Struthio camelus: one gene and its partner. The protein of the gene in region 1 purifies or fractionates together with the protein of each later gene. This does not show direct contact. Links are inferred from orthologs where the notes say so. Each region holds a gene or a part of one and is shown in the gene's direction. Other genes may lie near its edges.

What was found.
Region 2: the proteins of RRM1 (region 1) and RRM2B purify together in Homo sapiens (affinity purification with western blotting; 3 studies listed by BioGRID and IntAct, counting the BioPlex papers as one, with this or other methods). This does not show direct contact. The link is inferred for Struthio camelus from reciprocal best matches to the Homo sapiens genes RRM1 and RRM2B.

Annotation. Positions count from the first base shown.
Region 1 is NC_090942.1:224,376,325-224,389,016, forward strand, and holds the start of RRM1 (ribonucleoside-diphosphate reductase large subunit), read left to right. Parts: upstream 1-6,496; 5' UTR 6,497-6,913; coding exon 6,914-6,932; intron 6,933-7,888; coding exon 7,889-7,977; intron 7,978-9,707; coding exon 9,708-9,885; intron 9,886-10,518; coding exon 10,519-10,619; intron 10,620-11,270; coding exon 11,271-11,330; intron 11,331-12,692. Other genes in the region: sodium-dependent proline transporter-like, read right to left, coding at 308-491, 2,828-2,893. UniProt on the Homo sapiens protein: Provides the precursors necessary for DNA synthesis. Catalyzes the biosynthesis of deoxyribonucleotides from the corresponding ribonucleotides.
Region 2 is NC_090943.1:145,618,491-145,630,337, forward strand, and holds the start of RRM2B (ribonucleoside-diphosphate reductase subunit M2 B), read left to right. Parts: upstream 1-5,706; 5' UTR 5,707-5,840; coding exon 5,841-5,900; intron 5,901-6,009; coding exon 6,010-6,165; intron 6,166-8,246; coding exon 8,247-8,363; intron 8,364-9,323; coding exon 9,324-9,457; intron 9,458-10,595; coding exon 10,596-10,690; intron 10,691-11,847.

The DNA of each region.
Region 1 (12,692 bases):
GACACGCGTGGGCTGCCCGCAGCCCCCTTCCCCCAGCCCCTTCCCCCCCCCCCGCCTGAAGCACCCCGCACCCCGCCGCCAGCCCTGCCCCGGGGGCAAAATCCCTTTCCCCGGCTTACGGGAAGGGCCGAGCCCGGCCCCAGCCCCTCTCACCTCCGGCCCCGGGGTGGGGGGGGAGCGGGATGGGGCAAGGGTGCACGCGTGTGCGTGGGTCGGGGTGTGCTGCAATAACCCCCTGGCGCTTTGCACGGGCCCCCGGGGCCGGGCAGGGGCTGCGAGCGCGGGCGGCCGTGCCGGGCGGACTCACCCCCTCCGTTGCGGTAGCACAGGTAGGGGAAGCGCCAGACGTTGCCCAGCCCCACGCAGTAGCCCAGGCAGGACAGCAGGAACTCGTGCTTGCCGGCCCAGGTGGCCCGCGGCGGGCCGGGGGCCGGGGCCGAGCCGGGGGGCTGCGCCGGGGGTCCCGGGCTCTCCGCCTGGAAGATGTTCACCTGCGCGGGCAGGAGAGGTGTCAGCCGGCCCCCGCCGCCCTCCTCCTCCTCCTCCTCCTCCTCTCCAAAGGAGCCTGGCCTCAGCTGAGCTCCGCCGTCTCCTGCTGCAGCCCTGCGGTTGGGCTACCCCCTGCCCTCCACCTCTGCTCTCACTAAGGACAGTCCCTTGGGCCACCCCGAGCAGAGCAACGTTCCCCAAAGCGATGGGACACATCGCTTAGGCTCCTTCCACCCGCCCTGCTGCCTCTCACTGCAGCCTCAGCCAACGCTCCTGCGGTCCTTGACCGCGGATGGGTCCTGTTTCCCGACACAGAGAAGCACCCGCGTGTGATGGGCTGGGGCTCATGTGCTCTGCAAGGAGTCTGTGGGCCACAGACAGGCCCAGGGCGCAGGGATGTCTGCTCGTGTGCAAAGTCCGCAGGTGGAGCACAGCTTCCTCCAGGGACCTGATCCAAGGGGATGTCAGCCTAGGCGTGCCAGCACCTGGGTGCGCTTGCTTCCTCCAGAAGTCAAAGAGAGCCTCAAAATGCTCCTTCCAGATAAGATACCAGAAATCAATCTGGATTACCTGCAGGTCATTGAAACGAACTGCAGATTAGCTGTGCCACGGGTACTGGCTCACCATGGGCTCTGCCTCGCAGCTGGCACTGTATCAAAGCTATTTGGCCACCAGGAAGCCTGGTACAAAGATGCCAGGTGCATTTACAAGAGGCAGCCCGGGCACAGCAAGTGTCAGCGCAGACCTAGCAAGTCCTGATGGACCCGGCCGGCTGCGCAACGGCTGCCCCATGCTCCAAGCACAGATTGCAGTCCCCCAGCCTCTGGTGCTTCCCGCTGTCCTGGTCCCACACTGCCCAGAGGCGCTCAAGGACCCTCTGGGCAAGTCTCCTGGCCCAAGAGACCACTCTTGCCCTTCTCCTGCAGGGCTGCTGTGAGGTACCTTGTTCACACACCCAAAGCAGCCAGGAGACCTAGGAGCCTCCAGATGGGAGCCTGCAAAGGCAGGTAGCACATTTATCGCTTCAGCTGAGCCCTCCTGCCGTCACCCGCTACCAGTCATGTTTCAGAGGACTGCAGCTGCTTAAAATCTGCAAATGCAAATACCCTGAACACCACATCTGGTCTACCTGCTGGGTCAGCGGGATCTGCTCCCAGCGCCCCTGCCCACAGCAAATGCTGGCAGATGCAACCAGGTCTCAGGAGGGAGATGCAGGATGGGGCCGAGGAAGAGCGAGCGGCCGCAGCGCTCGGCAGCCTTCGGCACAGCCTGGAGCCCGGCCGTGCTCGCGGCAGCGTGAGCGCCCCAGCCCCACCACTCGCTGTCGGCTCACCGCGGGCAAGCGGGGAGGCAAGGCAGACCAAGGCAAGGGCTTCAGCCCAGCTGGTGGCAGCCCAGAGGGGCTTACGGTGGTGCCCGGAGGAGAACCGTGGTGGCTTGGCAGCGTGTCGCGGCGAGCTGCCCAGGAGGCAGCACACGGACAGCGTGATGGGGCAGCCTTGAAAGACCCAACCCGCAGGCGATGGGAGCTGGCGGTGTGGGTTGGCCGTGCCATCAGAGGCAGAAAAGCCTCCTGAGGCTGCTGTCCCGAGTGGTGGCAGGGAAAGCACCCCTCGCAGGGCGTCATCCTGGGCCATCTGCTCTGCTCTGGCCGTTCCCCACAAGGGAAGTCAGCGGCACGGGCTGGGAAGGCAGCAGACCGCACGTGCACCCAACAGACCCCCTTTGCTCCTGGCCTCCCCGGCCCCGCGCAGCTTGCAGACAGGCGACCTGCAGCGTGAGCCGTCGGGCTGCCTCCCCAACAGAAGGGGAAGCGGCGGGGTCATGCCAGCCCCTTGCAGCGATGCTCTGGCCTCTGCAAAGCATCGCCCCCAGCCGCCCTCGGCGTGAGCCCCGCGCCGCCCGCCCAAACCCCCGGGATGCAGGGCCACCCCCAGGCGGGGGGCACCGCGCTCTGCCCCGTGCCCAGGCTCCGGCCGCTTGCTGAAATCCCAGCAGCTCTGCCAGACTGCAGCCCCGGGGGTCTCCGCAAGGAGACCTCTACCCGGCCGCGATGGGGAAAGGGCACTTTGACCTTTGCACTGCCACACGGCGGTGGAGTTGCAAGGGCAGCGGAGCCAGACGGAGACCCGCAGCCTCGCCATCCCCTCGGCGCCTGGGCTGCCAGCGCCCAAGGCACCAAGTGCCGCAGCGAGCCCCGCGGTTCCCAGTTCTGCTCCCCGCGTAATCGGGGCTGGGCAGGGAGACCCGCACGCTGCAGCGCCCGGCGCCAGGGACGGGGGCACCTGCAGCCCCGGCGCTGCCGGGCAGGGGCGTCCCGGCGGGGGCCCCGTCCTACCGTGGGCTCCGGCGGTGCGGCGGGGGCCGGGAGCCCCGGCGCGGCGAGGCGGCCGGTGCACGGCATTTCCTGCTCGGCGGGCCGGAGGGCCGGCGCTCGGCTCACCTGCGCCAGGTGCAGCTCCGCCCCGGGCCACGGTCCCCGGGAGCCCCAGCCTGCACCACCCCCTGCAAACCCTCTGTCCCACCGGGGTTGGCAGCCGGGAGGGACCGGAGGCATCACCCCCCCCCTCCCGCCCAGTACGAGTTTCGGCGCCGGGGCTGGGGTCGGACGGGACCCCCGGGCTCGCTCGGTGCCGGGTGTGCACTGGGGAGGCCCCGCTCAGCACCAAGCCTCTGCTGGGACGTGGTTTTCCTGCCGGGCTCTCGGCGAGGCCGGGGCTGTCCCACGCGGCAGCGAGCGCCGTGGTGCCGTCCCCAGCTGGCCAGCCCCAGCCTGCTGCAGGAGGGAGCCGACGGCGCCAGTCTCCCGCCCCAGCAGGTCTGGGGACGCGAGGAAGGGGAGCTCGGTGCAGAGGGACACGGAGGAGCGATACGGGATAGGAGCAGTCCGCTGTCCCCTCCAAGCTGCCAGGTGGAAGGAAGGAGCAATTTGAGAAACGGCTCCATCTCCCTTTCCATGTCAGCCTGGATGGGTGCAACCCCAAAGACACCCCTTACTGTCACCCTATTCTCCCTTACACCAGTCTGTGCTCTCCTGGCCTGTTTGCTGGAAAACTGGCCAGCTGCGCAAGGAGCAGAAATAGCGGTGCTGGTTTTCTGGGAGACCGACTGCTGCTGCCTTTGCACAGGCTCAGCCTCGGCAGTAGCAGCAGCTGCTGAAAGAGAGCTCGACTTAAAACTGTGATCCATCCAGGAGTGAGTCAGTATTTCTACCAGCCATTGACCTGTCTTCTGCTCTTAACGTTTCCACCTCCTTTCCGCTGCGTCTTCCAGGGAACGCACACCACCTTCTGTGTGTCCCTCAATATTGCGTGCGGGTTTTTTTTTGTGATTGATGCGCTGGTCCTGCCTCTCTTTGGCCATTTCCATGACACTGCATCTGGAGCCAGCTGTTCCTAATCTCTGAGCGGAGCAGGTTCCTCGGCAGCGGGAAGGATCCCTTCCACCGGGACTATCCCCCGCCACCGCAGTAGGGAAGGGAGAGCGGAGAACGGGGCAGATTTCTAATCTGGACTAAGCAGAAACATTATTTTCAGTACAAAACACTTCTGCAGAGTGGGATTGGGTCTTGACTTGCCCATTTTTCCGCTCAGCTCGTGACTCCCTCGGAAAGGCTATAAACTCATGTCTCTGGGCGGGGGGGGGAGGTGACTGCGATTGAATCTAACTCAGGAGGAAAAGGAAGCTCATCATGGGAGAAAACCAAAGGAAGAAAGAGACACGCCACGTGGTGACTGCGGTTGCCTCCACCTCACGCCATCTGCCAGAGCACAGTTGCGGTCCTGCGGCGGTGCAACGCCCTCGAGCTTACAACAGGGACTACCTTCAAATGAACAGCGTTTCTATGGATGTTTCTGGGTCAAGGAACTGAGCTAGAGTAAAAGTAATGCCACCCAAGAGAGGAGTGGAATGAAAGAGGCATGTTTAACGTGGATAATTTTGGTGGTCTTGCTTATGGCACAGCCTTGCAAACAGTTGTCCCAAGGCAAGTGAGGGAGCAATAATCAATCAGAGTTGGGAAATCAGTTTTCTCAGAACCCAGCACGGTGTACCACGACACACCAAACAAGCAAGAGGAGGAGGCTCTGTATTCTCTCCTTACAGACTAGATCCCCTTAGTTATCCCACAAAATGCTCAAAGCCTCCACTAGAGCCTAGAGGCATCCAGAGCCAGGGCCACAGAGCAGGGTGGGCTCCCTGTCCCTAGTAGGATTAAGACGCCTCCATGCAGCTAAGTCCATGACTCCAGGCCTCCACCTCACCCTCATGGTTTGCCTGCTTTGGCCAGTAACGTTTCTTAAGCCCCACAGCTCTGCACGTGCACCAGAACCGCTGGCACAGCCTGGCACTGCAGCGCTCTCAAGATCTTCGGGATACGTCTTCTGCAGGTCCCAGTCCAGCAGATGACCTCCGAACACACAACAGAAGCCAACAGGGGTGTGGAAAGCAGGAGATGGTCATCGGGAGAAGTGGAGAGAGCCTCCCTCCTGAGGACACGTACAGCCTGGCTGGGACAGGGCTCCTCGGGGGGTGGGGAGCACCAGGGTGACTCCCCTCATCCAGAGGGAAGACGCGAACTCGAGACTTGCGCAGCTTTGCTGCTTATGCAGTCAGCTCTGTAACCATCAGTATCACCAGTGGCTCTTTTAGAAACGAGGCCTGATGGGGTCTTGACTCGTCTTTTTGGAAAAGAGGCCTGTTGAAAGGGACGGCTTGGACGCCTTGGTCCAGAAGAGGGGCTGGCATCACCACGCCACACAGCACGTCGCTGTAGAGGAGCACATCGCAAACCTCCGCCGTTTCCAGCTGGCCTAGCCTCCCCGGTGCCCGCAGAGCAGGCCAAGCGCTGGGCTTGGGCTCAGGCTCCCCGTTCTCCCTCCATCCTCGGCACGACCTCGCGCGTCAGCGAGAGCTGGGAGCTGAGCGTCCCGCTGCACGTCCGCCCCCTCATCCCCGGCGCCGTAGACCCCCCTCTTCGTATCACATGCATTTAAGGCACTGAAACAAACCTGCCTTAGTTTGGAGCGCTGTTCTAGCCCAGAGGTAGTCTCCTAGCTGGGGAAGACTCAGGCCAGCGGGAGGCCCGGCCTTCCACATAATATATATAAAATATACATACACACACACACACACACATTTATCTATATATTTATAAAAAAATAAATATAAATATATATTATATGTAATATATATGATTATATAGATTATATATATATATAAAAATATATATATGCATTATAAAATATATATTTATTTATAAACAAATAAAAAAAGAGTGAAAAAGAGTGGTCCTAAAGCAAAACCTAGGAGAACTTGAGGGCAAAGAGCTGCGAGCGCAACTCAGAAGGCTCAAATAAACCACAATGCTGTTTTTTTTCTTCTTTTTTTTTTTTTAATCCTGTAGGGTCTTTTCCCATAACGCAGAAAAATGGCCCCAAAATGGACTGTCATTTCCTGCTCAGGTCCAGACGTTCCCGAGTCTCACCCTTGCCGAGGAGGGCACGGGGGGCCGTCAGCCCCTGCCACCGCGTCCGTCTCCCCGCGCCGGTAACCGCCCGTTTGGGGTCGGCGTCGGCGCGGGGCCAACCGACGTCCCCCGCAGCGCCCGTCTTTCCTCACGGGTCGTGCCACCATCACCTGAAACCTGGTGAGCTTTCCGGGGCGGCGCCCTGCCCGGGCAGGCCCGGGGCACCCGAGGGCACCACGTTGTCCCCTCCGGGCGGGCGCCGCTGCCAATCGGGGCGTTTCCCGCGTTTTGGGGGGAAAACGGCGGCTGCAGGACGCGGCGGTCGTCCATGTGCCGTTGTCCTCGCCCCGGCCCCTCACCGGCAAGGGCCTTCTGTGGGCAGAGAGGGGCTGTGCAGGCGCCCCTTGTTGGGAGAACCGCACTGAATGCTCTGCCTGGGCCTTGCTTTGGCATAATTAGCGTAATTGTTGTTATTACTACAACGGTAGTCTCGTTGTTGTAATTATTTTTTGCAAAACGGGGGTATTTTGTCCCTCCGGCGGCTCCGTACGTCGCGCCCTCGGGCTGGCGTAAACGGCCCGTTCTCGTCTCGCCGCCGCTCTCGAAGGAGAGGGTGGGAGGTCGGTCGCCATCTTGGAAGCGGGCAAACGACTCGGCTGCCGCTGCTAGGGTGGTGTTTTCCGGGAGGAGAGGGGGAAGGATGGGGATGTAGTTAAGGATGAGCCTCCGCGAAGGGGTTAGAGGCAGCGCGTGAAATCCCGGTGGTGAGGGAAGGAGCTGAAAAGGCGGCAGTGCCCGGAGCCAAGATGGCGGCGGCAGCGGCCTCAGCCGGGGGGGGCGGAGCGCTACGGCGGCGCGGCGGGGCCAGCGCAGTTGGCGGGAGCGGGAAGCGTTTAGTCCGCGCTTGGCGCCGAGGAGCCGTTGGAAAGCCCGCGCGCCGGGACGCCGACCGCCGCCATGCACGTCGTGAAGCGAGGTGGGGGCCGGGCGGCGGGGCTGGGGATGGCGCGGCCCGGGGGGCACCGCGGGGGGCAGCGTGGGGGTGACCCCTGTGGTGGAGGGGGGGGTCCCTGTGGAGGCAGCGGGGGGGTCGGGTGTGGGGTGACCCCTGTGGTGGGGGGGGGTCCCTGTGGAGGCAGTGGGGGGGCAGGGTGTGGGGTGACCCCTGTGGTGAGGGGGGTCCCTGTGGAGGCAGTGGGGGGGCAGGGTGTGGGGTGACCCCTATGGTGGGGGGGGGTCCCTGTGGAGGCAGTGGGGGGGCAGGGTGTGGGGTGACCCCTGTGGTGGGGGGGGGTCCCTGTCGAGGCAGCGGGGGGGCAGGGTGTGGGGTGACCCCTGTGGTGGGGTGGGGTTTCCTGTGGAGGCAGTGGGGGGGCAGGGTGTGGGGTGACCCCTGTGGTGAGGGGGGTCCCTGTGGAGGCAGTGGGGGGGGAGGGTGTGGGGTGACCCCTGTGGTGGGGGGGGTCCCTGTGGAGGCATCGGGGGGGAGGGTGTGGGGTGACCCCTGTGGTGGGGGGGGTCCCTGTGGAGGCAGCGGGGGGGCAGGGTGTGGGGTGACCCCTGTGGTGGGGGGGGGTTTCCTGTGGAGGCAGTGGGGTGCAGGCTGTGGGGTGACCCCTGTGGTGGGGGGGGGGTCCCTGTGGAGGGCAGGGTGTGGGGTGACCCCGTGGTGGGGGGATCCCTGTCCAGGCCATGGGGGCAGGGTGTGGGGTGACACCTCTGGTAGGGGGTTAGAGGGCTAGCCACCTTTTTTCCCTTCCTCTTGAGCCTGAACAGGAAACCTAAACGGGTAGTCCTTGGTGATTCCCGCCCTGACTTCCCGCAGAAGAGAGTTGGCTCCTTATTGTGTGATCTCCTGGGTAGAAGGATACTGTTTTTAACTGCTTCTTGGTGTAACGGGAGCTGTTGTGTTTGTAACTTCTTCCTCAACAGATGGACGCCAAGAGCGTGTCATGTTTGACAAGATCACGTCACGCATCCAGAAGCTATGCTATGGGCTCAATGCTGACTTTGTTGATCCAGTGAGTCTGTCCTCTCTCCTCTTTTCCTGTTCTCTACCCCTTGTGGTGATCTTTGCTAAAAGCCAATAGTTTTGAGCAGGTGCTATCCATTTTTTGCCTTCCTTTTAGCAAAGGGAAAGCTAAGCACGGCAGCCTGTGCAGGAACTGTTGGCAAATACATTGACTACTCTATTTTTCCATAATGTGTTTCTTCTAGCTGTTTGTGTTTTGGGGTTTTTCTTGCCTCACAAGTACAAAGTCTGAGACTGGGTTTGAGGGAGGTGATTATGCTTCTTGTACTTTGAGTTGTTTGTTGCTCCAGCTCGCATATTTTAGTTGATTGCTTTCTGTTTCAATTTGCAAAGCTAAACAATGCTGTATGGAAAATAAATCTTGGTCCTCTCTTAATAAAATGGAAAGGTGCCCTTTATCTGTGACGGAACTCCCCTGCCATTATATCCCTACTTTACTTTTCCGAGCTGTCTATGATTTTGGGTGCTTAGTAATCCCACCTCTACGAGCTTCTCCTTCCACAGCCTCGTGGATCCATTGACATCTGTGAGATTTTTACGCCGATGTGCAAAGCTAGTCTGTTCATTTGGAGTTGTCAACTTAGGCTCTTCACATCTCCAAGATCTTGTGATTTGTTTTCTTGTCTTCAATTACATCTGTAAAATATCTGACATTGATTCTGTACCAAAAAAGTAATGCTGAAATAGAGAGTATATTGACTTGATCTGAATGACAGAGGGAGTTGATGATGAGGACAGAAATAAAGTCCCTAGGCTTCCTGACTCTTTGTACCCTCATCTTAATAGCAAAGCTAATTTTACGTGAAGCAATGTATTTTTATTTATTCTGCGGGAGTGTGTGGGATATCTCTTCCTGGACTTGGATTTCTCCTTTTGGATTCAGAACTTCTCATGACAGATGATTTACAAGGAAATAACAAAAATTCTTAATCTGAATGCTTCCTTACAGAGAGTAAAGTTTGAAAATTACACGTGCTGGTTTCGTAAGGCTGTAGGCACTTCAAACGTATGTGGCGGTTACCGTGTTAGGTCAGACCTCTGTTCTTCAGTGTAGAATATCACTATTGTAGTGATATTGATCACTACAGTAGTGATCAGCACTAAATGCTGATTGTAGTGATCAGCACTAAATGCTTGAGAGAAAAGCAGAGAAGATTCTCGAAGCAGCAGATGCAGAAGTCTCTTCCCAGGAAAGGTCCCAATGGATAGATGAAGATGAGGTTAAGCCATGAAGCAAAATCCTTTTTGACTTGTCCAGGGTGGAGTTTTTTGCTCTTGTCATCATAAAATTTAAAGTATAACAGATTCCAAGTCTCATCAGGCATTTACAAAGTCAAGTTTTAAACTCATTTGGAGTTTTAAAACTTCCAGGCAAGTAAAGTTTTAATGTGACTTTTATTCCATGCACTTTGCTGCTACTTTATGCGAGCCTTTAGGAAAGTGTCTATGTTCAGAAAGTTCTTGGTGATTCTGTGTTGACAGTTTGTATTTTCTTCACTCTTTCCCTGCTGTCTTTCTGGCCCTACTATCTCTTGGTTTAAAAACTTTAGGAATCAGTACTTTATCAAGAGGATTTTGTATTTTAGTTTGCTTTGCTGTTCAGACAGAATGAAAGGTACCCCTTATAGCGAAGCATGTTTTATTTCTTTTAAATGGTTGAAAATTTTTTTTCTTTTTTTAAACAAAAGATTGCTAATCTGCAGAATTTTGCTGTTTCAGGCCCAGATCACCATGAAGGTAATTCAGGGGCTATACAGTGGTGTCACAACAGTGGAACTGGATACGCTGGCTGCTGAAACGGCTGCGACTCTGACTACCAAACACCCTGACTATGCTATCCTGGCAGCGAGAATTGCAGTGTCCAATTTGCACAAAGAAACTAAGAAAGTATTCAGTGGTAAGTCTGTCTGGGGGCGTGTGGAGAGCAGTTAGTCAGAAAGGGAGTAGGAGTTCTGGAGGATATAAATACGTAAAGCTCTTTATTAGCAGAAATTAAATACCTAGGCCAACTAAAAATGCCAAGGGAATGAAAAACATCAGTTTTATGCATGTCGCAAGGAAAATCAAATTGTTTTGCGAAAAATATCTGTATAAAAGAGACTGAAGAATGTAATTGATTGAAATTAGGATGCACCCACTTTCTTTTCACACTTTAAAAACAAAATCTCTAAACCTGTGAAAAGAGAATCAATTTGAAAAGCTTATTGCCTCTAAAGTGGAATTGCCTGCTGAACTTTGTTGGCTAGACAGAAATTCTCTAGCTGTCACCGAATGATGAATTCTATTAAAAAATATTCTAAGCAAAGTGCTTTTTCAAGGTCAGTAGAAAATAATAGCACTGAGCAGGTAGAAAATAAGTTGGACTGTGTTATGAAGGTGAGAGGTTGTGTGCATGTAGAGCTGGAGGGGGTTATTTTGGAGGCTGAGTAGTCCTGTTGGTTAAATCCTTGAAAATTAATGACAAATTATGTGAACGTATGTCTGTGGGTGACTTGCTTTGTCTCTCTTTTTAAACACGTTTCTGCTGTAGATGTGATGGATGATCTCTACAACTACATAAACCCTCATAATGGGAAGCACTCGCCAATGATCTCCAAAGAAACTCTAGAGATAGTTTTGGCCAACAAAGATGTATGTAACATTTATCCAGTTCTAAAGTTCTGAAGATTCAGTGAACTAGTTTAGACAGTTTATTTTTCTTATTTCTATGGAAGCAATGTCTGTTTTAGCCCCAAAAGGCCAGTACAGAAAACCAGTGAAGATAACTGCTCTGTTCTGGAGAGTAGGAGAAAAGGTGTTGGAATTTCCTTCGTTTAAGGATATTCCTGCAGCAAGATATTCCTGTAGCAAGATCTGTTTTCTTAGATGTCCTCATTGTCATGATCTCTGCAAAAAAGTGCCTTTTGTTGTAGCAACCTCTTCTGTGTGCACAGAAGGGAGAGAGGAGGTTTGGTGTCTAATTTCAAGTTGTGCAAGTCCTGTGCTCTTACTGAGAAGGCACATTCACATTTTGATTCTATCTTCTATTTCTTAGTATCTAGTTAGAGACTTCAGCAAAATGTAGCCAATGACTGTGCATTGTATTTGAAAAAGTTCGTTAAAACTGTGCATTTGTTGTTTCAGACTAAGTGCTTTTCCATGCTTTATTCCCTCCTGCGTGAAATATCTGTTTCGCTGGATTTGTGAGGCTAGAAATGCAGAACAATGATAGCATTGTTATACTGAAAATATGAGCCACAAATAATCTGAACGTAAATATAAATCCATGTTCTTTCCTCTCAGCGCCTGAATTCTGCCATTATCTATGATAGAGACTTCTCCTACAACTATTTTGGTTTTAAGGTAAAAAGCACATTTCTCATGATATGAAGACTGCTGTTTTGATGTTGTTTTAGAGCTGAGCCTGTTGAGGGGGATGATAATCCTTGCAGAATCATCCAGATTTGGCAAGGAGAGCACTGGGGTAGTTGGGACATTAGTGGGATTGTAAAAATGAGTACCTGCCTAAAGCAGTTGCCAGGGCGCGTGAACCATGTGCTTTCTTCTTGGCTTTGCTGCACATCTTGATGTGATTTTTTTTTTCTGTTTGTTTCTTTATTCTGTCAGCCACAAAAGCTTTTGAAAACTCTTGAGTGTGTAGACAAGAAGTAGTGGGCTATATTCCTGTTGTTCCTTATGGCATGATGAACCCAGGTGATCCTATGTGGATTTTTATCAGGCAGGCCCAAAGCTGCCTTGGGGCAGAGAGAGGGACAGAATGACCTCACGGGAGTCTTCCTAACCCTGTTTCTGTAACCCCATGCAGAGAGCAAGAGCCAAAAAGGATCTCTGTGCAGCTAGTGTAGCACAGGCCTGTATGCTTAGTTCTCTCTTCTGCTGTCATGCACAGGCTACCTACAGTTCAGTTAAATTTAGTTAGGGATTGAGGATGGAAGTGCGTGGCGTAAACTGAAACTACTGAAGGAGAATACAAGGTGAGAGGATGTGTATGTGGGGGAGAACAGCAAGAACCCTTCGATCATCAAAACCCAGAGCTTCCATTTGGAATGACTCCAAAGTCCTTATGTCTAGTGGTGTCTCTCCTTGTCAGGAGAAAAACAACTATCGATGTAGCATGGAAGCTAATTATCTGATGGGATTACTGACAGTGTTCTTTCAAGGGGCTGCAACTGTTTTGCCCCTTGGCTAGTGTAAGATTTCAGCTGTTGAGCTCTAACACCTTTGCAACAGGTAGTACTGAATGTTGTTGGAAGCTGTCATTCCTCAAGGAAATAATCTAATTCTTAATAATCCAAAAAAGGCATTTTTGTTTCTCCCTGTTGTTTTGTGTGACAGTTGTTTTCAGTGTGTCATCCCACGCGTTTGTGTCGTCTTCCATGCTGCTGGAACAATCTCCCCCACAAGCAGTCCAGTCTGCTATGCCCCACCATCTGCTCCTCCTGGTCCTCTCTTAACATGCTGTTCTTCACTGCATTGTTTTGAGGCATGACTCAGTGGGCCCTCTGGAGAGGTAGCCAGAGAGCGTTCAGCTTTTCCATAGGAGTGGGTACTTCAGATACGTTCTTGGCCTTGCTGAGTCTCTGACAGAACTAGTGATCTTTGCCTAGAAGTGTGTAAGGGAGACTCTTCAGTCATAAAGCACGTGATATGGTGCCTTCTGGTTTGGGGGAAGTAAGCTGTCAGGAAAAAACGAGGGGATGTAAA
Region 2 (11,847 bases), on another chromosome or scaffold:
TAGTCATATAATGGCAGATACTTTTAGCTGTATGAAACCATGTTTTCTCATTTTCTTACTGTTAATGTGTTTCTGGTACACTGCTTAGTAATGTGATGCTTAGGCATGTGTGTTTGCTCTCATCAGAAAACTCGATGTAAGAAAAATGAAGCTCTCTTCGTGCTTTGGACCAGTCAGCTGCCCTGCACGGATCTCGCCACTGAACTTTCCTAAGCCCTTGTCCCTGGTGAGACTTGAACTCCTCTCAGCAAGATGCCTAAAAAGCCCCAGGGGTGCAGATCAGGTCCAGATGAGTTGAGTACCTGGTCCACCTCCCAGTTCCCATGCTTAAAAACCTCATACTGGAGAGGGGAGATTTCAGTAATTCTGTGGCAGCTTTGAAACTCCTGAGAAGTCTTTAAAAAACAAACAAACAAAAAAAAAACCAAAACCTGAAAATCCTTAATGCTTGAGAACAAACAAAACAAAAGCTAAATTTCTGGAAAACAGTATGAGAATCACTGGCGCGTACCTTTCTGCGGTTGTGGGTCAGCTGCAGCTTGGATTTGGGAGCGCATGGATGGAGCGGCAGCGGGCAGGGCTCACCTGTGGGTCTGCGGCCTCCCCTCCCCTGTGGGACACCAGGCACCAAATCTTCCCCCCCCCTCTTCCCCCCCCCTCTTCCCCCCCCATCTTCCCCCCCCCTTCCCCTGTCCGCTGGCCTGTTCTCACCGCCTTTGGAGAGTGGTGAAAACAAATTTTAATAGTACTGTCATTAGCGTTGCTTGTGCTCAAAGGACAGTGCAGGCAAATCCAGGGAAAGAGGCAAGGACGTCTTACTGATGACAGATGTCTCAGCATGAGAGCCATTAGCTGGAAGCCGTTCTCGTGTCTCTAGTAGCCAGGGCTGGTTTGAAAAACCTGTAGGCTTTTTTTTTTCTGTACATAGACTGTTTTTTCTCATACACTTTTAGAGTGACTATGGCCACCTTCAGCTCCTGTATCTGTGACAGCTATCAATATTATGTTCAAAGCTGTACGTGTTCTTTAGTAAATTTAACAAAACGATCAAATCTCCCAAGTTTGTCTTCATTGTCATCTCTTAGGCTAGTCTAAAATTTTTTTTTCTCTTTTTTTAAAATTATTTAAAAGAAAAAGAACTGCAGTTCGTGCCAACTATCTCGTTCGTTATTCTGTCCGTAGCCGTAACCAGGGCGAAGGCGCAGGCAGCAGCAGCCCGGAGCGAGCCCGCAGCAAACTGCCCCGGCTCTGCGCTGGGCCCGGCTGAACCGCGGCCAGGGCCTGCTCCCCTAAACCGCGCTGAGGGCGTCGTGCACGCTGCATTGCTACGGATTTTTCTACGCGGGTCTGAAATGGTGTATCTCTGTGAATGTATTCGGGTGTCCCTGTCGCCCCCCCACCCCCCCTTGCTAAGGGACACGCACTTGTGCAGCACCTGCTCTCTCTTGTCCCGGCGCGGCCCGCGAGATGACCGTGCTCCTCCCAAGCCCCCCCGAGCCGTGATGGCTGCCCGGGCGCCCGCCGCTGCTGGAAGGCAGCGCCCGCGGCAGCGCTAACGGCCACGCCTGGCCGCGGTGCTTCACCCCTTTTAAACGATTATCCAGGCGCAGCGCCCGCTCCTCGCCTTCACGGCGGCAAGGAAGCGGGGCGCGCTGCTGCGGCGCTGCCGGCGCAGCTGGAGGCGCCGCGGCGGAGGAGGCGGAGCGGCGGCGGCGGCCGTTCCCCCTTCAACCGCCGCCGCGGCCCAGTCGCCGGGGCCATGGGCGAGCGCCGGGGCCGCGCGGCGCTGCCGGAGGCGGCCGGGCCCGAGCGGGTAAGGGCGGCCGCCGCGGGGCCCTGGGCGGCCGTGGGGGCCTTGGGCGGAGCCGGGGGACCTGCCCGGGCCGGGGCCGGGGCCGGGGCCGGGGCCGGGGCCTGGGCTGGCTGGGCCCTGCCGCTTCCCTCCTCGGCCCTAGGCCCTGGCCCGGCTGTCTGAAAGCTGGGGCCACCTGCCAGCTGGGGGTGGCCTTGGGGGCCACCGCCTCCGAGCGGTGCCGGGCGCGGGGGGCCGACTGCCCGGGGGCTGCCGGCGCGCCTCAGGTCAGCGTCGCCTTTCCTCGTGCTTCGGAGAGCGCTTCCCCCCCCCCTTCCTAAACTTAAACGTGGTTGAGCGCTTAGAGGAGATAAAAACGGGAGAGGCAAGCGCTGTGGCTTGGGAGGGTTGCGATAGTTGTCGTTTCGCGACTGCAGAGAGTACTAAAAAAAATAAGCATACTAAATAACGACAGTGATCCAGGATTTGGAGCCTAGCTGCGTTGGCACCTGCTTTCCCGTTCAGATACAAGGAGGTCACAATCTGCTGTTAGTTTAGCAGGGCCCAGGAGCTTCGAAGCAAGTTGGTCTGCTATTCTGCAGTGGTACAAATACTGATTAAAAGCCGTCCCCAGCTCTGAAGAGTTTACTGCCTAAATAGGTATCGCACGACAGGTCAGGTGCAGAGATATCGTGCAGCAGGTCGGTGGCCGGAGGCACTGGGATCTGTTCAGATCCACAGCCATTGCTCCGGGAGCAGAAAACTGGGCTGCCTGTCGTCTTGTAGGGACATAGGAGCTTGAAAATCGCCTGTAGCTTGCTTTATGTAGAGTGATTTTGGAGTCCATTTTTTATCTGTCATCATGTCATCGCCATGTTCTGCTGGGAGTCGTCTCGCTGAGGTTCACCTGGGCTTGCCCGAGTCCTTGCTTCCCAGAGTGAGCTGGGAATTTGCAGGGCCGGATGGAAGAAGCTTCAATTTAGGCAAGTCAGCTTTTCTTCCTCCCCATCCATAGGAGCTGTGATAAATGGAAGGCCTTAGCGTTACCAGACAGGCCTGTCTTTGTGGCCCTGGTGGACCTGGCCAACCTTGCCAGCACTACTCTTTTCCTCTTTCCTTAGCTATAACTAACACCTGTAGCTGAAGTACTTGTGGATGCATCCTGACAGCTTTTGCTGTGGGGTCATGGTTGTATACATGCATATGTTTACTATTTCCTAGTTTGCTGAATTTAAAATTCTTGGAAGCAACTTTAGTACTACCAGTTGGTCTTAGTACGTGCATTGGTGTTTTATTGACGTCAGCAGAGAAGTTTATCTCCAATAGTTGCAGAATAGCTGGGAGATGTGTGTTTGGCTCATGCTGACTGAATGGAAAATAGCGTAGTCTCGTTGTGAGATTGGGTACTCTTTGGTATTGTGATGAATGTTTGCTCTGTTTTATGCACCGTTGTGAGGTGAAGGACAAACCCACCCAGGATGCTGGATGGAAGCAGGAAGCAGATAGGCTTTCTGAATGTGGAGGCAAACTGGGGAGACCATCTCTGCTAATGCCCCCAGCCAGGAAGGTAGGACCAGGAGTGCGTTGTGCTCCTACAGTGAGGGCTGCCAACTGCTCTGAAACTCCAGCAGTGGTCAGAACATGACGTGTATCAGAAACTGAAACTAAAGGAGGATTTTCTTCCATGAGGTTTCAGATGAGTTGTACCAAGAAGTGTACTGATTAACAAACAGACTAGGTAATAAGTATTACTGAGATGAAACTTTGCTAAGAGGGATAGTACCCAAAACTAGGAGAGGCAATACCTGCTCTGGAGCCAAGCAGCACATGCCTGCTCCTTTTTGGAGTTTGCAGGCATGCAAAACTCTCCTCTGTCTCCAACAGGGATTATATGATATGGGAGGTGGGTTGAGAGGCACATTCCAGTATGATGTATTCTGTAGGGTTTGACTCTTCCTTTGTTTTTAGTTTTATTTATCTATTTATTTATTCTTTTAAATCCACACCACTTTATTGTTCTGCATTGTGGCCCTTCTCAGGGTCACAAGATCCCTTTGAGTCTGCTCCTGGAAGCCATCCTTCTGCTTCCCAGCCATCAAGACCTCCTGTTAGGGTGCGTACACTGCTTCATGGACCTTTTCATCTTTTGCTACTTTTCTGTCTTTACTGTGCATTGACAGTGTTTCTGGTGGGTGTTGGCCCCTCTGTCTGTGGCCTGTGGCACAGTGGCAGCTAAAGGCCATAAGGAAAATCACAAATACTTTTTGCTTCAGTGTTAGTCTTCACTTTTCCTGCCTTACTGGAATTGCTATTTGCTCTTTCTGTGCTCTGCTGTACTTCCACATGCTAAAAGTGTTTTCCAAATTATCTCTGTATGTTATGGATCCAGCATACTGGTTTTTGAATGGCTCAGGTAGCTTTAGTAACTGCTAGTGCATCCTCTTAGGCTAAAATTAATACTTGGGGGTAGTCCCCATGCAATATTGAAGGATTTTGCTCAGGAAAACAGTGGACTAATAAGGAAGCCTTACAGTGTTGCCTTTCACAGGGATGACAGCTGATGCAGAAGTAGATGGAAGGACTAGCTGTGTGGCAGGCCCTGGGGGCATAAGCGCTGAGGCAGAATGCAGTCCCCTAGGATGCTTGAAACTCTCCCCTGTTCAGCAGCGCCCCTGCAGGGTGATGTTGGAAGAATTGTCTCATGTAGTTGAGTAATAACCTAAAATATAATAAACTGGTAAAACTGTAAACCATGATATGGTTTTTGCTGCATTTTCGGTAGGAATCTATGGTAAATATGCCTGTCATGCAATACGTACATATATATATATATACATATATATATATATATATATATATATCTTTAAATGTGGGCAGCACCAATAAGTGATAGAATTATTTTACTTTGGGGTACTTTCCAAACTGAACTAAAGGTTTACCTTTTAGCGTGTGAAAAGTTGCAAGAGGACTGGGTAGAGATAGGACCTTGCCAGTACCTAAGGTGGTGGAAGCAGTGGTGTTTGAACACCTTTTGCTCCCCTTCCCTGCTATATTATAATACATTGTATAATGTTTATTGTAAGTTATCCTCTACAGCTGTGTCAGTAGGATCTCAGATCTCAAGGTGTCCTGCTGATTAAGCTTTTGATGATAACTGTGAGGTCAACGGCACTTTTTGGAGAGGTTGCAGCATACCGTCCTGACAGCTTGTCACCACATCTGTCTTCAGTAGGTGTTTGGTGGTACGTGTCACATGGATGGTGTTAGGCACTGATCACAGGAGCCGATGGCCCTGCTCTTGCTGCTGTTCCCTGGCATATCTCCTACGTGTCAATCTTCCTCTGGTTCTGCTGGGCTCGTAGGTCTCTGAAGGAGCGTTCTGCCCTGGAGTTGATGGGGAGCCTGCGTGCGTGCCGGTGCGATGTACTTCCTCCTGGGGATGCGTAGCTCCAGGCGTGGGGGCTTCGTGCTACCTGCTTTTGAAAGGAGAAACACCTTACTTTGGGGCAGCGTTTTGAGGAAGGAGGACTGCAACCGGACGGACTTCAGAACAGTACCAAGCGTGTGGGCTGTGCTCTGCCTTGCATCCTGTGGGATGCTGTAGGGCATAGTAAATCACTGTATTGTCTATGTGAACCTTAAGGGAAAGAGAATTGCTATGAGATAGAGCTGTTTTGTGTAAGACAGGACTGATCACTGTGATCCAAATGACAATTTTTTTAGGAGAGTCCATGTGGGCCTAAGAACTTTGAAGTAACAGCTGAATTAATTTGAGACAGCCTTGGAAGTGAACTCTGGATAGATATGGTTGGCAGCTAGTGGTAGGTGACCTTGCACGTGTTCCCGCAGTATACACTACCGCGGTGTTTGCTCTCTGCTCCCTGGGCTCTGAGTGCAATTGTGATTTCCTCCTCCTACCGCAGAAAGACTTTCTCTTTTGCACCGAAGTATCAAACACTTCCTGGCACCTGGCAGGAGGACAGTATGTTTAAATTGTGCTAGATAGTGCCAGGCAGAAAGGCAGTGTTCCTGGCCGCAGAGAGGGCATATGGAGGGCCAAAGGGCAAGTACCCTGGGAGAGGGTAATGTCACCCCCTGCGGGGGGCAGGTGAGTGTCTCCATGATGAGGATGGCTTTTAGGCCCTGCCGTCATGATACAGGGAAGCCGAAGGAAGGCAGTAACTGTGCCCTTAACCACAACTGTGCTCTATCTGCAGAACTCCTCTTCGGGTGCCCTTGAAAATGGTTTGAAACCTAATGAAGAGCCCCTTCTCAGGAAAAATCCCCATCGATTTGTCATCTTCCCCATCCAGTACCCAGACATATGGAAAATGTATAAACAGGCTCAAGCTTCCTTTTGGACAGCAGAAGAGGTGAGCTCTGGGGCCCGTGGGGTGGTGCAAGGCTCTTGGACAGGGATCCTGGCATTTCATTCCTGGCTTTGCTGCTGGTTTGTGTTTTGTAACCTTGGGTGGAATTAATTTTATTGAACATCAGGTGTCTGCAGCTGAGGAAGGCTTTCTTCATAGTCAGTGGAAAGAAAGACACTTCCACAGGGCAAATCAGCTGACGTGTTTTTGGTGTCCAGTTTAGGTTGAGGTGGAATTGCATTCAAGGGAACCTCTTTTCTGACTATAGAATGAGTCTAAATCAAATTTGAGGATCTGTATGTGTGAGTGTATGTGTGTATATATATGCGAGTGTGTGTGAGTGTACACCCCCTTCTCCCCACACACACACATTGTGCTATGGTTTCTGAACTTCAGTGTTCTGATTCTCAGAGTGCAGCTACCTCCTTGCCTATATAAAATATTCTGAGCAATTTTATGAGAATGCTCATAATTAGGTACTTATTTTCCAGAAAGGTGATGATAACTGGGGACACTGCAAAAAAAAAAGCCTCTAATTTACTCCAGAGCACCCTGGTTAGATGCTATCCCTGTATTATAAAGCAAACTGTAAGTTAAGACACTTTGTTTTCCCTGAGGTCACTGGTTAGGCAGACCCGAGTAGTGCTGTCTTAGCTAGCTGCACGGAGACTTCGCAACGCCGTGCTGAGCTAGAGCGATCCCCTGCAGGTGAGTGGGGTGTTCAGCTCAGAGCTTCGGTGGTCTTTGGTCTTCTGTGAGCAGTGACCTCCAATTGCTGAGGGATAAACTGAAATCACCGACCGACTCTAAATAGGCCAGAAATTATAATGGGATGAAATGAGTTTGTCTGTAGAAGTGTTATGCCATTCCCTGCCAGGGAAACTTGTCCTGTGTCACTAGAAGTTGATTTAAGCTGTAAGAAGCATTTAAACTCCTGTCTGATAGCATTGCTCTTTTACTGTATTAGTGGTTCCTTCTCATACTGCCCTACCATGTGTCGGCCTATTCCCAGCTGAACTGAAAAGTTAATAGGGAGTGTGTGTGTATATGTGTGTATGTATATATATAATATTAAATGTGTATGTATATATAATATGTGTGTGTATCTATATGTATATACACACGCATGTGTACCTGCTGTATACATATGAATATATATAGTATTTCTGAAAACTACAGACAGACCTATAAATTTTTATACCTATATATTTACATATATATGCATTATAGATACTTATATATGTAAACACATGTATGTTATATCTACATATATAAAAACATTTTTAGGTCCGTTGATAGTTTTCACATCTGGCCCTACTTAACTGCTGCTGTGGTTCAAAACTCCCTCAAAACAAACAAATAAACAAACAAAAAAGGCCTATGCTAAGGAAGTTGTGGTTTTTCTACCGTGGCTACAGTTCAGTCTTCTAGAGGAGAGCAGTTACACAGCATTTGCCCAGGGCTGTTCTTGGGAGGGATGGAGGGTGAACACCTGTCAAAGGCAGAAATGCCCTCAGTGCATCTTCTGGCACACCTGGCTGTAGGTTTCTTGCAATATCAACGTTCTTTGCAAGTAGAATATTAAAGCATCTCGGATTGAGCTCTGCGTATTGATGCATGTTCATACTCATGCCAATGAGATACTGATATTTTTCATAATCTGATTTATTTATAATTCAAAAATTAATACTGTTTTTTTTTTTTTATTCCAAATCATTTCCCAAAATGTGGAAAGCTGCTATGTAAAAGTAAATTAATCCCTTTTTCAGTAGAAATATTGTTGCTGAAGTTTTAGGCCTTCTAGGATTGGAACCCTGAAAGGTTTTACGTTTGCTATGTGTTTCAGAAGATTCACACTTGTTTGTGGGGAAGTAAGCTGCAAAACAGTCACATGAAGTTACAGTTACAGAAACAGAGATACTGCAGTATCTGGTGTACATTTTACATGTATTAAAATTCTTTATAAGTAAAGATTTGACAGCAGACTCCAAAATCCTGCCTCAGTGGTTTGACTATGCTGCTTTTGTTCTTGCAAAATTACAAACACAGAAGGGTAGTAATGTTTTTCTTCTTCTTTTCATTAGGTTGACTTGTCAAAGGACCTGCCGCACTGGAACAAGCTAAAAGCAGATGAAAAATACTTTATCTCTCATGTTCTGGCCTTTTTTGCAGCCAGTGATGGAATTGTAAATGAAAACCTGGTGAGAAAGCTTTACAGAGAGCCTAAATGCTTACTCATTTTTATTAGCAAGCGTCTTTTCACTTTGGTGATCTCATATCAGTGCCATAATTTTGTTATTGAATGTGTAAACTTTCTTCTCACCATCATCTCACCTTTGCCAAGGGAAATAAGCAGCTTATTCTGCTAGGATGAGTGTCTGAATTAAATTAGGTCAACTCTGGTCAGCAGGACTCCAAATTATGTCATTCTTGGACACAGTTTTTTAAGTCCAGCCTTCTGACTGACAGTGTTGATCTGCATTTCTCAATGAATTAATTAAACTCCATGCTCCTTCATGTAATTGTGCTACAGCAGAAGCAGGAGGAGAATTGAGCTATGCCCTCCTCAGCTTTTTTGTTTTGGTAAAACCTCTTTTGCCCTCACTAAATGGCATCCTGGAATCTTTCTGGGCTATAAATGGGTGCTACTGAAGTGCTGGGGAAATCTCCTCTTTCTGTTGAAATCAATTCTGGAATGCAGTATGTCTCATCCCCGGATTACCTCTGGTATCTGAGTGGAAATACTCATTTTAGATCTTCAGCATCTTGAACACGTAGAATATGTCATGAAATATATACACACATACTATGAACATGTCATTGTCATATGGTTTATTTTTTTCAATAATGAACAAAAAGTCTGAGGCTTTGTTCGATGTGAAGTTTTTATTGTTGCGATATTTTGCTGTTCCCCTCCTGTGTGTGTGTGTGCTGTCATGCTTCACTGCACTTTTCTATGCAGTATGCATAGCAGATGTACTTCATCTTGCTTTCTTTAATTTCTTCTGCACCACACCTGGCTTTGTGACATAGCTGTTCATAAAATAGGGCTGAAATGTCCCCATCCTTTCTCCGTGGTAAAGATCAATCATATCTCCTATTAGGCTCGAGAGTGCCAGTATTACTGTACTCATTGGTATGCTTCTTTTTTTTGTTGGTAGGTGGCGCGTTTTAGTCAGGAGGTGCAGATCCCAGAAGCTCGTTGTTTCTATGGCTTTCAGATCCTTATTGAGAATGTTCACTCAGAGATGTACAGCTTGCTTATAGACACTTACATCAAAGATCCTGAGAAAAGGTAATTATCTGAATGTGCTACAGACCCGTGGGAAATGTTGTCCAGTCCAGGGGCACAGTGGCTGGGCAGCAGCTGCGTCCTTCTGTTTCACATTGACGTAGTGTTGGAGTTGGAGACGGTTGGTTAAAGCTTTCTAGGTCTGCCTCCCTGACCCCCAAAACGGAGAGAAGTATTACTGACCAACGAAAGTCCATGAAAGTGTTGAGAAGGTTAGTTAATATTTGTATAGGGTTTTGATTGTAAGAAATGCAGACTGTGTGAACTGTTGTTAAAGATTAGACAAGTCCCCTCTGGTTACTGTGCTCCTGAGGTGCCTGTTCTCACATCAGCAAAGGATCTGCCTCTATGAATTTAGTGCTCTTTACCCAACTGGGGTTGGTAATATATGCTAACCAATGTATTACTTCCTTTTTTTTTTTAATGGTTGGTGCTTTTCCATACAACTTGAGCTATTAATTTTAAAGTACTGAGTTTTTTGGAGAGACCCATCACCTTTGTCACCTGGAGATCTGCCTAGTCCAAATGATAATACCTTTGAAAAGAAGCACTTCCCCTCAGAGACTGTGCTATGGCAATGGGCAGGCAGAGCCCAGTTTCCTAGAGTGGCATCCTGTGGGGTGAAGTGTTGTCCTCCATCCTCAAGGCACAAGGCTATTGGGAAAGCTGCAAGGTTTTCTTTCAGCTATTTAGCATGGGAACAGAGACTGCGCTTGTGGGAGCTGTGTCCAGTTCTTTTTGTGGAAAAAGGAAAGATGGACGTTTTCATGGAACTGGGAAAGGTGAGGTTTAGCTTCTTGAGCAGGGACTAGCAACCAGCTGGCTTGGAGTATGAGAGGCAGCATGGCCTGGTGGATGGACGGGCACTTCTTCGATAGGTAGGAGGCCCGTGTTTGCTTCCTGTCTCTGCAGCTCACCTTCTCTGAGACCTTGGGTAGATCCCTTCCCCTTTCTGCCCATGTGCTTCTGTCTGTGCCCTGTTATCAGAGATCACACGGTCTTTAGGGTAACGACTGTCTCTGATTTAGTTCAGAGCCTAGCATGGTGGGTTCCACTGCCTGTTGGAGCCTGTAGAGACATCCAGAACAGGTAAATCACTTTTGTGTGATTACTCTGATGTTTTATTTGTTTCCTTTTATAGGGATTTTTTATTTAATGCTATTGAAACAATGCCTTGTGTCAAGAAGAAGGCAGATTGGGCTCTGAAGTGGATTGAAGACAGAGAATCTACTTTTGGTGTGTAGCCTCTTAAAAGTTGTTTCTGTTGCACATGCCACAAACTAAACCTCTGGGAGTGAGCTGCAGTCCTGGAATGTGAAACAAAATTTTCCAGAGGTGATGCAGTGGCTTTGTGGGTCTCCTGGTTTAATTAAAGGACTAGAAATAGCTTCTGGTGAGCATATATGTTTTAATCTTCAGATAAAGCAACACAGTAGTGGGGATGCCCACAGGAATCACAGCTTGAAGTGCTTGTGGGTTCCTCTGTCTATCTTTTTTTCTTCATACCAAGCAACCCTAGCTCTTTCAATCTTTGCTTGTAGATCTTGTTTCTTAGACTTCTGATTCTCTCTTCCAGTTGGTTCCTGTCTTGTACTCTATTATTCAAAACTGGATGGCTGAAGTCTGACAAGTCCAGCCTAAAATGGAAGACTTACTCCACGTTCTCATAGACAAACCCCTGTGTGACATTAGCCTTTTTTGCAACAGCATGATTGAGTCTGGGCAAAATCCAAGAATGATCTGCTTCTGGTGTTACTGGCTTGCTCGTGGGACCATGTTTCCAATATCCTCTCTCATCTCAGAGCTGCCACGCTGTTTCAGCTTCTGACAGCCTGATACAGGACGTCCTTTCTAGCGTTCTGCGTCCAGCTTACGATGCTGACTCTGAAAGATATGTTGTAGTTGAAACGAATAATGGGCAGACTCTGGTGGATTTCCTAAACCAAACACCCTGTGTGCTTAGGGACTGGATAGGAGATGGAGAGATTCAGACAGACTAACAAAATACATCTGGGTATTGCTCTCCCTCAGCATCTGTTGTACACAGCACTTGTTTGAATGGGCTTCCCTTTGTAGTCATAGATTGTCCTGTCCTGGAGCCTTCTCTCCAGTTTGGCTTTTCCTGCCCTGTGCAAAGTCTCCTTTTCATCTCCTCCACTGAGCTCACATCAGCACGAGGTGCACGAGGAATCAGAAGGTTTCTTAAGTTAACGAGCAATGTCTTTTGTTTCTCCAAACATCCTGCGTCCTATCCAAACGTTTTGGATTTTTTTTCTTTCAAAGTACATTTCTGCTCTTCTGTTTTTCCACCTTATTGGGAAAGTTTCCCAAATTTAAGATGTTCTTGGACCCAGGTTTTACATTTATGGAATATGAGATCAACAGGGAGTGGC